Oryctolagus cuniculus: one gene and its partner. The protein of the gene in region 1 binds, or shares a complex with, the protein of each later gene. Links are inferred from orthologs where the notes say so. Each region holds a gene or a part of one and is shown on either strand. Other genes may lie near its edges.

Region 1 (6,290 bases):
AACAATAAATACAACAAAATCTTACAGAATGTCAAAATGCTTTCCTCCTACTTATGGCTCATTCCCCCTTTCTTTTTATTTCCTATTTAATTTTAAACATAGCAGTCTGAAGACTAAAGCAGCAAGAACAACAAAATAAAGGCGGCATAAGTCCTAAGAGAAGAGGAAGAGTGAGCAGAGGAACATCAGTCAGCAGACACTCAATAAGCCTTACCTCAGTGCCAAATGGAAAGGAACATTCACCGTTTTCACACTTCCAGACACAGGGTCCACAAGACAGATCTGGTAAGTCTGTGGCTGCCAACTCTGACTGATAACATTATTCAAGCCCATTATTTTATAGCCAGGATACAGTAACCTAAGGAAATCACACACCAATGTGGCAAAACATTAGCAAAAGGAGAAATATCAAAAGGTGCTTTTAGTATAGTTAGAGAACCCTACAGATTTACAAGTTTAGAGAACTCTACAATATTACCAATTCAGGAGCTTTAATGAGGTAAGTAAATGCTGACACCAAAACATAAGCAAAGCAGGACTCAACTGGCAGAGTAAAAGATTCTACAAAATTAAATGAACACAATCAGGCCCATATTTGATGGCAAACAAAACATTCACCTCACTTAACATCATCACTAGGAGAATCTGAAGGAAGTTTTCCTTTTCAGTCTAGACAGCATAAGCAGCACCAAGCTGACTTAAATTCAACAGCAAAATGATGGCATTTTGCAATAGCATTTCTTTATTACTAAGTACTTCATCCTTAATTATGTACCAGGCACTCACAGGAAAAGCCATAATAAAGGACATTACAATTCCCACACAGCTTGCAGCCTAATGAGTAGCTTTAACAAAAGCTTTATTTTAATAAAAGCATTCCTGTATTTCTTTTTGTAGCCTGCAAAATGCCAGGGTTTGCAGCTTACCTGCAGTGCTTTCCCACGTTGAAAGCTCCTACTCTAGGTCCCTGCTGTGTGCTCCACACCTCTAGAATTCCCCTTCGTGGGGCATAAATCACGAGGAACTGAGCTACTCGACTTGGACCCTGAGTATTTCCAAAGGGGGAAAAGTCCACCTTTTCTGGTACCCTTTCGTGGAGATCTTCTACAATTTGAATCCATCCAATTTGTGCATCACGGTAGCCTTGGATACAGAGGACAGGGAAAGTTAATTAGTTTATTAATCAACGTTCAGCAGCAGCCTCCAGAAGCATTTTGGAATATCTACAGGAGAGTGGTAGAGTATTATCTTTTTACTTTAAAATATCTTAGACAAGATAACAATAAATATAATAAACATTCAATCTGTCACCAAGCCTTATCAAATCTTAGTATTTTGCTTTATTTGTTTCAGATCACTTTTTTTCTTTAAAAAGAAAATAGTGTAGCTATAACTGAAGCCTCTTGAGTGTTCCTGCCTGCTCTCATCTCCATCTCTCCCTCTCTTTAAAAGATTCCCTCCTTTAAAAAAATTCTGGGGGCCGGCACTGTGGTGTAGGGGGTAAAGCCACCGCCTGCAGTGCTGGCATCCCTTATGGGTGCTGGTTCCAAGTCCAGGCTGCTCCACTTCCAATCCAGCTCTCTGCTGTAGCCTGGGAAAGCAGCAGAAGATGGCTCAAAGTGCTCGGGCCCCTGCACCCATGTTGGAAACTTGGAAGAAGCATCTGGCTTCGGATCAGCCCAGCTCTAGCCATTGTGGCCATTTGAGGAGTGACCTAGAGGATGGAAGACTTCTCTGTCTCTGTCTCTCTCTCTGCCTCTGCAACTCTGCCTTTCAAATAAATAAATTAAATCTTAAAAAAAATATTCTGGGGAGATTATGTTTGGCTTTAAGATAAAAGCCCATTTAAAATTTAAAAACAAAAACAAGTTGATTTTCTGCTATTCAAGCCCCTTGGCAGTAGACAGAGGGAAAACATGGGCTGCATGGTGACATGAGGAATTCCCTGTGTGAATGAAGAAGCAGCAGCTAACACTATCTTCAGTTTTAGGGCACCCCCTCTCCTAGGCAATTGATGCTACCCTCCCAAGCACACAATGTAAAAGAAAACTGCACCAACTGCAGAAAGACAGGTAACAATGCCAGCAACAAGATTACCAAAGCAAATTTGGGCAAATTGGTACAGCTGTATTTTCTCACCTTCGATTATGTTGCAGAGACAAACACCAAGAAATGATGGATGTACAGCACTGAAACTTGCTTCTACAGATACTTCAACAAGTAGCAGATAAAACAAGTGCCTGTCACTGTACAGATTCTTTGGCAAGAACATGATAGGGACCTCAATCTGGTCCAGAGTGATTTAATATTCTCAAATCTATTATTCTTTACACCATAAAGATTGTACATTAATTATGGTTTCCAACACATTGCTATTCCAGATGATTTTAAACAATGTAGTCTCCCATCTTCTTAAGTCTGGACATTTTATTTTACTCAGGTTTACAATGTACCCAGTTCAAAGGCACTTTCAAGTCTCTCATAACTAAGTCCTGGCTAATGTACTGCATGTAGATAAAGACTGGAAGGACTTTGGGCAGTGTCTTCAAAGTAGACTCGACTGGCAGGAGTATCTTCTCTTCTCTTCTCTTCTTGGAAAGCAGAGAAGGTGGCTGGCCTGAGACCCTGCGTAGGGCAGCTATGTGGAAGCAGACTGGGTTCCTTAGGATGCTGTGGTGACATCACGTCAAACCAATAACTGAGTCTGCTGCTAGCAGCTGAATGAAACTCCTGCTTGACATAGTTACTGATAAACCAAGTGGACTGATCCAAGCACTAGGATGTGACATTTGGCACAAGCATGGCCTTGTGAAGGGTAATGAGTATAGCTGGGGCAAGAAATTGAATTGAGAAATTGATGACAGTGAGAATTTAAAGACTTAAAGCATATAAGACAGAGGTTAAAAGTGCCTATGAGGTGTTCAAACTTATAAAATGATTAATACTGGATCAAGTGTTGCCAATCTGAGTTCATTTTGACACGAAAAGAAAAACCTGAAGGGTTAAACAGCATTCTTAGCTAGAGGCTGAAGAATGATAACATTGCTTAATGTTAAGAGAAAAAAGTGAATAAATGTTTTCTATAGATTTTTGTAAAGAAGTACCTTTCCACATGCGTATTGCAATCCCTCTAGATACATCCAATAAAATAACTCTCCCAAAATCATCAGTTACTGCTGCCAGTGTGTTACATGGAGACAGACATATGCTTTCACCATGCCGTCTAGAATCTGGAAGTCCAAATCTGGTATTTAAAAGAAAAAAAAAAAGCTCAAATCACATTCCAATCTATAAATACATAAAATAATGAAATGAAAAAATAAAATAGGTGACAACTATCTTTACCTAAAGAAATATGAACGTTGCCTAGCTTACCAATTCATTTACTGGTTAATCACACCTAATATTTGCAATCTAAAATACATAAAAGAAATGAAATTAAAATACCATCCTATGTTGGTTTCTATACAGATTCCACAGCCTTTTATTTCTAGGGAATAGAACTGTAACTATCTTTTCCTAAGAAACATGTCATACACAACAAGACCCTCACAGCCAATTCAATTTTAGAATACTTTGCCTCTACACAGACACCTTTTGTCTATTTTAAGTTCTTGTTTCAACTTAGTTCACTTTTATATTAGATATCATAAATTGCTGACACCAGTGTATCTTCTTTTTTTTTTTTTAAAGACTTATTTATTTATTTGAAAGAGTTACAGGGAGAGAGGAGAAACAGAAAGAGAGAAAGAGAAATCTTCTATCCATTGGTTAACTCCCCAAATGGCTGGTCTGAAGCCAGGAGCCAGGAACTTCTTCTGGGCATCCCATGTGTGTGCAGGGGCCCAAGCACTTAGGCCATCCTTTGCTGCTTTTCCCAGGAGCATTAGCAGGGAACTGGATGGGAAGCAGGAACATGGGACTCGAACTGGCATCCATATGGAATATCAGCACTACAAATGGTAGCTTAAACTGCTGTGCCACAGTGCCAGCAGTGTGAGCATTTGGAAAGTGGACCAGCAGATTAGAGTTCTCTCTCTCTCACTGAGCATAGGAGTTCTCTCTCTTCATCTAACTCTCCCTAAATTTCTCAAATAAAAATAATAACTAAATAGTTATCTCTAAAGCCTACTGGTTTATCATCAACCTTGTTAGAACTGTGAGTAAAATAAAAAGAACCAGGAACACTCACTTGAGAGAAGTCCCTAAGAAACATGTTCAAGCTATTTTTTTTTTAAGGAAAAGAGTTTATTGGGGGCAACCCGGCAGACTGGAGGGAAGGGGCGAAGAAGGAAAAGAGGGAGAAGAAGAGTGTAAAAGAGAGACACAGAGACGGAAAGGAAGAGACAGACAGAGAGAGAGGAGAGGAGAGAGAGCAAGAGAGAGAAGGTGTTCAAGCTATTATAACTATTGGGTCCTGTGGCTAATTTCTTGATTCTTGGGTGAACTGAGGACATGTGATATGTTACAACATAGTATTTTAAAATAAGATGAAGAAATCCTTAGAAGATAACATTGAGTAAATTTTAATAGCAGTTAATTAGTTGGGTCCCTTTAGGCAAAGAACATCTAAAGGGGAGGGGCTATATTGTCTTTCATGGTGGTATTTTGTATTTGGTGCTTTGTAAAATGTTTTAAAAACAAAATCAAGGGGGCTGGTACTGTGGCATAGTGGGTAAAACCAATGCCTATGATGTTGGCATCCCATAAGGGTGCTAGTTTGTGTCTTGGCTGCTCCATTTCCAATCCAGCTTCCTGCTAATAGCCTGGAGAAAGCAGCAGAAGCTAGCCCAAGTGTTTGGGCTCCTACTACCCTTTGGGAGACTGGATGAAGCTCCTGCCTTTGGCTTGGCCCAGGGCTAGCTGATGTAGCCATTTGAGAATGAACCAGTGGATGGAAGATCTCTTTGTCTCTCCCTCTCTCTGTAACTCTGATTTTCAAAATAAATAAATATAATCTTTTTAAAAAAATCTTCATCTCATGGAGTTTACCTTCCAATTGGGTAAAAATCCCACATTAATGACCATCAAAAGTTCCACAACCTCATGAGATCAGCAAGTTAACTAATAAGCACACTGAAAGACCATGAATTTCAAAGCACTAAAATTTGAGAAGCACAACAGACTTGCCTTACAGCTAATGGAGTAGCTGGTTCAACCTTCGGCTTTTGCTTCTGGACAGCTTCTTCTTCATGCTTACTTTTCCAACCAAGCCAACCACTGAAAAGAAAGGACATTTACAACAAAAGTAGAAGAGCTTCCAGAGTGTGAAGTGCAGACTCTCAAAATATAAGTTAAAACTAAGCTAGATACAAATTAGAGACTTTTAAATTTAATTTTTATGTAATTACCTGGCAGCATTAAATAAAGCAGAAGTGAGTTTACTTGCAACTGCTAGTGCAACATGAGATAATAATGGTTGTGTGCTTCCCTGAAAAGCAGAGCATTTGAAAGAGAAGAATTAATAGCTTACAAAGAAACAATAAACAATGCCAACATTAAAATGTCTTGAAAAGTTGTAAAGGTTGAACTAGTAGTATTTCAGCTTCTTTCAGAGGGCACACTAAAACTTCATTTTAAGTGCAATAAAAGAAAAAGTTTTAATGATAGTTATAAAATCACTAGTAGTCTATTTTACCTTCACGGTTTCCTTATTTTAATTGTAACTTAATTAAAATAAACCCTAAACCAGGGCAGTAAGACAGCATTGTTGTAGCTGGGCTAAGGATTTCTCATCTACTCATAACTGGTCCTCTCTCCAACCCCTGCTGCACATCCCCCACCCTGCCTGCCCTGCTTTTAAATAAATTTAGATAGTTTGGACAATTTTGAGGTTTTTTGTGAGACATCAGAGCTGCCAAATTTAACACCTAACCTATCCCTATTTAAGGAAGCAATTTTCACCACTTACATCAACTATAGTTGGCAGCTTTTTCAGCCTTTAAAAATGCTCATTTACTCATATCCCTGATGAGCTGACAGCATTAACACTGAACTTCTGACTACTGCAACAGTAGTTAGACAATTTGAGGCTTCAGAAACAAGAGGTTTGTTTGTTTTACTTAATCTAAAGAATTTAGAAGAAACCTAGTTGAGAAATGTAAACTTCTTCATTTCAGGCTAAGGAACTATATATAATTTATAGACAAGCTGAAAAGAGTGGCCTGGCTCATAATCACAGTCACTGATGAAACTCATACCTCTAAAGCATAGAAGAAGCCCGTAAATGGATTGGACCCTACAGTGATGTACTGAGACATGGCAGGTGGACTGTTTTTAATTGCTGCATT
Region 2 (6,290 bases), on another chromosome or scaffold:
TTTCCATTGTTCTATTACACTCAAAGAAGTGAAGCTATAATTTGATGATGCTAAAACCACAGCTTTCATTTTCTTGTGTACTTTTTTAAGTATTCTAAATTTCATGTTGTTTTAAAAATCTTTTAAATACAAAAAGTACATCCTTGTGGTAAAAATAAAAAACAAAACAAAATCAGAACTGTATACAATGAAAAGTATAAAAGCCTTTGCCAATCCTCCTTACCTCATGAAACCTACTTTTCAATAACTACTGTAAACAGTTTGATAAACAAGGGACTTCAAAAGTTGTGGGAAAATGGAATGAAAAGCTGAGTTTACTTTGGTGCAAAATTTTGAAATTCATAAAGCTTTTTCATAATACACATTCTCCATTAACTTTTTGAAGATTTCTTAAAACTGTCATTTAAACTCTTATTTCTCGGGCTTAGAAACATGAAAATCTTACTGCATCTTACACATTTTACTCCATTAAGAAGTTTCCTACTCACTGTCTCATTTTAAATATACAGAAGAATCTGCTACAAAACATAAATTTAATGATTTCACAACAATTCTAAAATGAGAATTCTACAGCTACTATACACAGTACATTTATGCTATTTTCTCATTATTTTCAGAAAAATTCTTGATACATCAGTGTTTTATAGTAGGTAATTATCAGTGGAGGACATGATTTCCAACTCAATTTTCCAAAGATGACTTTTAAATAAAAAGATATTTAGACTACTAACCTAGACATACAGCAACACCCAGAAACTTAATATATTTAAAATATTTTAATACTAAAATCCGAATCAGCTTACATAGTCTTCACTCTCTGATGGAGGGTTACTGTTGTCTGTTGAAGAAGTTCCATCTACTGGTTTCTCAGAAGCAGCATCAGGGAATAAGAACTTAGGGGAGGAAAGAAAACAATTGCATTTTAGATCACATATCCCATTTTTGTTGACAATAAAACCCTATTTGACTTTTCAATGATTTCTGCTATTGAAACTGTGGGAATGTTCTTACTATACCACTCAGTTGGTTCTACATTCTCAAATTTCTTTTATTTTTCTGTGAAAGCACACAAAACTTCAGTGACTTGTCAGTTTCAGAAATAAGACATTTTTTCTTAAAATACCCATGTGGTCTTAACTGTATAAAAGTAAAATATCTTCAGTATTGATTTCATGCCTCTGCAAAGCTAGTAAGTTTTACTGAAATTGTTAATATTATTAAAAACCTAAAACTATAAAAAATCCCTATATGTCCATGATAATCTGTGAAGTCATATCATCCACAGGTTTTCATATATGAAGCACTAAATTATGATAAGAGAAACTTAAACATGAGATACCCTTGGAAAGTGAGAAGCAGCCTAACTCTGTAATGACCACCATATCTTTTCTACATGGTAGGTGTGTTATGTGTCTGTGTATGGGCAGGTAAGGGTGGTAGAAAAATTTCAGGGCATACAACAATAAGCAGTGCAGCTCAATTCACAATAGCTAAGATATGGAATCAACCCAGATGTCTATGAACTGACGACTGGATAAAGAAATTATGGGATATGTGCATCACGGATTACTATACAGCATTAAAAATAAATGAAAACCTGTCATTTGCAACAAAATGGATGCAACTAGGAAACAGACTTAGCGAAATAAGCCAGTCCCAAAAAGACAAATAACCACATGTTCTCCCTGATCTGTGGTAATAACAGAGTACCTAAAAGGTAATCTATAGAAGTGAAATTGATACTTTGAGATGCAATGACTTTGAACAGCCCTTGTCTCAATTATTGAGGAAGAGTTTTTTTTTTTTAAAATATTACTTGTTGAACCCTATACTTAGTGTAGGGTTAATCTCATTGTATAAAGGTAATTAAAAAACAGATCTTAGTGAATGGGAATAGGAGAGGGAGGAGGAGAAAGGTGGGAGTATAGGTGGAAGGGAGTAGGGTGAGAAGAATCACCATGTTCCTAAATTTGTATTTATGAAACGCATGAAGTTTGTATACCTTAAATAAAAGGTTTCTAGGTAATAAACCTAAATAAATAAAAAATAAAAATACATAGGAAGTGTTTTGAGTGACATAAGCAATGTTTATAGCATAGCATTTTGTGAAAACCAAGAAGCAAAATGAATATACATGTTATAATTTTTAATACATAATAAGAAAATACATAGGAAAAAGGATATACACAAAAATGATAATTGTGGGTTTGTTTTTCCATACTTTTTGATTTTTCAAATATAATACATTATATATAACCAGAAATAAGTGTTATAAGAACTCCATAAGGTATACAGTTTGAATAAAATCCAAAGGATATGTAAATAAGAAGGAAACTGCTCTACAGAAATTTTAGTCCTTGGCCAGTGCCATGGCTCACTTGGCTAATCCTACGCCTGTGGCGCCGGCACCCTGGGTTCTAGTCCCGGTTGCTCCTCTTCCAGTCCAGCTCTCTGCTGTGGCCCGGGAAGGCAGTGGAGTGCCTGGGCCCTGCACCTACATGGGAGACCAGGAGGAAGCTCCTGGCTTCGGATCGGCGCAGCGTGCCGGCCATAGTGGCCATTTGGGGGGTGAACCAATGGAAAGGAAGACCTTTCTCTCTCTCTCTCTATCTAACTCTGCTGTCAAAAAAAAAAAAAAAAAAAAAAAAAAAAAATTTCAGTCCTTTCACTATGTGCCTTCCAACTGTTTTATGGTACTACTGACTAGGTATTCCTCTTACTACATATACTTTAGCACATACTACAGAACATGCACAACAGACTTTTAAAAATGAGAACTACTGTGTGCTAAACAACAGTACGAGGCCCATTTACAAACAATATCCTATTCTCATACCATGATGTGAGCTAAATATCACCACCAACATCTCATGATGTACAAACTGAAAATCTAGCTAAGAGTCTTGCTCAAGGACAAGATTAACAAGTTTCTAAGCCCGGTATCCTTTTTTTTTCTTTTTAAAACTTATTTATTTGAAAGCCAGAGTTACAGAGAGAGAAAGGGGGGAGGGGAGAGAGAGAGAGAAAGAAAAATCTTTCACCCATTGGTTCACTCCCCATATGGTTGTCAACTGCCAGAGCTGGGCCAGTCTAAAGCTGGCAGCCAGGAGTTTCTTCTAGATCTCTCCAACATGGGTGCACAAGCTGAAGTACTTGAGCCATTCTCTGCTGCTTTCCCAGGCATTAGCAGGGAGCTGTATCAGAAGTGGAGCAGCAGGGACTTAAACCAGTGCCCATATGGGGTGCCAGCATTACAGGCAGGCAAATTTACCCACTATGTCACAACGCAGGCCCATGGTCTGGTTTTCTTTTCATTACACTACTCGTGAAGATTTTTCCAAGACGGTCTTAACACACAAATTGTGAAATGTATGATTTTAACTATAATTACAATAATAATAGCTAGCATTTATCCAATGTCTCTTATAGTATCACCGAACTTTAATCCTCAAAAGATTACCAAGTTTCATTAGTCTCATTTCATTGATGAGATACTGAAGTGACTTGTTCAAAGTCAGATAGTGAGACAACATTAAGCCCCGGTGTGGGTCAGATTGGCATTCCATCATGACTTACTCAGAAGCTATCCTAATCCTCTACTCAATGCTCATCACTGTAAAACCTTCTCTAGACTGCTGTCAAGGGAACATTTTAAAAATACAACTCTGATCACATTGCTCTTCTGTTTAAAATATATTAAACTCCAAGATAAAGTCTGATGCTTCAGGAGGCAGGCATCTGGCCTAAAAGTTAAGATGCTGCTTGGGACGCATGCATCACATAAGGGAGCCTGGTTTTGAGTCCCAGCTCTACCTCTAATTACAGTTTCCTGATAATGCACACCTTGGGAGGCAGGAGATGACAGCTCAAGCACTGAGTCTATGCCACTCATGGAGGAGGTCCAGATGGAGCTCCAGAGTACTAGGTTTGCCTGGCCAAGTCCTGGCTATTTGAGGAGTGAATCAAATGGAACAGAAGAGAATGGAAGATCTCTCTGTGTCTCCTTCTCCATCCCCCCATTTCCCTCTCAAATACAATAAAACAAAATAAAACAAAACTGGGGGCTGACACTGTGGTGGAGCCAGTTAAATAACTTTCTACAGTGCTGGCATCCCATCTGGGTGCTTGTTCAAGTCCGAGATGCTCTACTTCTGATCCAGCTCCCTGCTAATGCACCTGGGAAAGCAATGGAAGATGGCCCAAGTGATTGGGCCCCTGCACCCATGTGGCAGACCCAGATGAAGCTCCTGGCTCCTGGCTTCTGCCTGGCCCAACCCTGGCCAATAAAGCCATTTGGGGACTGAACCAGTAGATAGAAGATCTCTCTCCTTTCTCTCTCTCTGTAACTCTTTCAAATAAAAATAAATAAATCTTCAAAATAAGTAAAAACAAAAAAAGATACACTGTTTCAGATGGCAGGTTACCCGCTACCTCTTCAGTTTCATCCCTGAACATTCCCAGGGACTCTGTTCTTCCTCTACTTCTAAAGCTTTTACTTCAAGATAAAGCTCAAAGGTGCCTCCTTACAAAGCGTTAGCTGATTCCCATGGCCCAGAGATAGACATATTCTCTGCTGTGTTCTTACAGCTCCTTTGTTAGACTTCTCACTGGCCACATTAAGTTTTAACTACTGTCTACTTCCCTGCTTTCCACTACATCTGTGGGAATTCTCTGACTGTGGAGACTTTGTTTCATTCATCTTACCAGTACATTCTCAATTCACTGCTTGCCATAAAGAAGGGACTAAATATATAATGAATAAATGCTCATATATAGAGACATAGAAAGAAAGGACACTTAGTTACCAAGAGAATGGTATTGAGGACATCATTATTCAGTGGTGATTCTTCTACACCTCTGTGTTTTCGTATTTTCTTCTTTGCAGTGTGTACCATATTTGAAACTGATAATTTATGAATTGGAACAGGTGCTGGCTCTGTCAACTTTGACAAAGCATGAGTTATATCAGCAATTTCTATAAAAATAAGACATAAATATGAATGATATCAACAACCATAGCAACCTTTATAAAATATCTTAAAATGCTGAGTAAATTGATGATTGTATATTCTTTTTATTAGTTTTCGATGGACTCAGAATTATAAAATTTTAGTAACTACATTAAGCTTTATATAGAAGCATGAAATGACAAAGGTATCACAAAAGGTATTTTTTTCCACAGGACATCAAAAATAAACCATCAAGACTCTACTTTTCAAAATATCCTACATTTTTGATGCAAAAACAAAAACAAAAAAACTTCATAAATGCACTTAATGTCTTAACAAGCTCTGGATATAAACCTGGAAACAAATAGTACCTGTCTAGTCCATCAAAACTTAGATGAAAATTTGCTGGAAAAATGTGCTAAAGAAAAAGGGTAACATATTTGAAAATAACATTTAAAAAAAAAAATACGTCACCTCTTCCTTCTTCCTCAAATGTGGATCGTCCAAGGATCTCATCAGTTGACTCCTTTCGACGGCAAATTTTAAAAAACTCAGTAACAAAATCACCTACATAGAAAAGCCATTATTCATTTATGACACTAAACTGAAAGCAATCAGTCCTATAAATTAAAGCATATGTCTTTCCACAAAAGCTATTAACTAACATATGGTAGAAAAGTTAAGCCATTTAGTTTTTCCAAAGGTAGCTTTGTTCCTTCTTTTTTTATTAAAAATAATTCCTTAGATTTCCTTCTATAATAAAAGGAAAATAACTATATCTAATGATATCAAACATTTAAACAAACTGTAAAGAGACAAATACTGTCTATTATCATTAAGTTGCATATCTTAATAGAATATTACTGCATGAAGAGAAGTCATGTCTCCATCTGTCCCTCTAAGACTAGCATTTGAATCGATTAAAAAAATTAAAAATCGGCCGGTGCTGCTGCTCACTAGGCTAATCCTCTGCCTGTGGCGCCGGCACCCCAAGTTCTAGTCTCGGTTGGGGCGCCGGATTCTGTTCCGGTTGCTCCTCTTCCAGTCCAGCTCTCTGCTGTGGCCCGAGAGGGCAGTGGAGGATGGCCCAAGTGCTTGGGCCCTGCGCCCGCATGGGAGACCAGGAAGAAGCACCTGGCTCCTGGTTTCAGATCAGCGCAGCGCGCCAGCTGCAAAGCGCTGGCCATAGCAGCCCCTTGGGGGTGAACCAACAGAAAAAGGAAGACCTTTCTCTCTGTCTCTATCTCTGTCTAACTCTGCCTGTAAAAAAAGAAAAATCCATTAAAACATTAAAAATAAATCTCTAAAGACATTTCAGATGATTAAATGAGATAAGATGAA

The links.
Region 2: the proteins of RAB3GAP2 (region 1) and RAB3GAP1 are in contact, whole or in part, in a cryo-EM structure (PDB 8VYB), measured with the Homo sapiens proteins. The link is inferred for Oryctolagus cuniculus from reciprocal best matches to the Homo sapiens genes RAB3GAP2 and RAB3GAP1. Residues at the interface, in NP_036546.2 of Homo sapiens: Arg197, His198, Pro199, Gly200, Ser276, Pro277, Phe278, Asp279, Met281, Lys282, Ser285, Asn286, Ile287, Gly289, Phe290, Asn291, Ala292, Ile294, Arg377, Phe378, Gly379, Leu380, Pro381, Asp382, Arg385, Cys395, Thr397, Leu398, Arg407, Arg415; in NP_036365.1 of Homo sapiens: Thr19, Ser21, Trp23, Glu24, Glu142, Ser143, Asn146, Leu147, Leu149, Ser150, Ser153, Ile154, Ile169, His170, Trp173, Arg174, Met176, Arg187, Asp189, Glu191, Met192, Val193, His194, Leu195, Arg196, Pro199, Tyr202, Ile211, Ser214, Lys215.

The regions. Positions count from the first base shown.
Region 1 is NC_091444.1:34,577,341-34,583,630, forward strand, and holds part of RAB3GAP2 (rab3 GTPase-activating protein non-catalytic subunit), read right to left. Parts: coding exon 6,201-6,290; intron 5,432-6,200; coding exon 5,352-5,431; intron 5,221-5,351; coding exon 5,131-5,220; intron 3,245-5,130; coding exon 3,105-3,244; intron 1,144-3,104; coding exon 927-1,143; intron 359-926; coding exon 215-358; intron 1-214. UniProt on the Homo sapiens protein: Regulatory subunit of the Rab3 GTPase-activating (Rab3GAP) complex composed of RAB3GAP1 and RAB3GAP2, which has GTPase-activating protein (GAP) activity towards various Rab3 subfamily members (RAB3A, RAB3B, RAB3C and RAB3D), RAB5A and RAB43, and guanine nucleotide exchange factor (GEF) activity towards RAB18.
Region 2 is NC_091434.1:108,473,104-108,479,393, forward strand, and holds part of RAB3GAP1 (rab3 GTPase-activating protein catalytic subunit), read right to left. Parts: intron 5,517-6,290; coding exon 5,424-5,516; intron 4,976-5,423; coding exon 4,806-4,975; intron 894-4,805; coding exon 804-893; intron 1-803. UniProt on the Homo sapiens protein: Catalytic subunit of the Rab3 GTPase-activating (Rab3GAP) complex composed of RAB3GAP1 and RAB3GAP2, which has GTPase-activating protein (GAP) activity towards various Rab3 subfamily members (RAB3A, RAB3B, RAB3C and RAB3D), RAB5A and RAB43, and guanine nucleotide exchange factor (GEF) activity towards RAB18.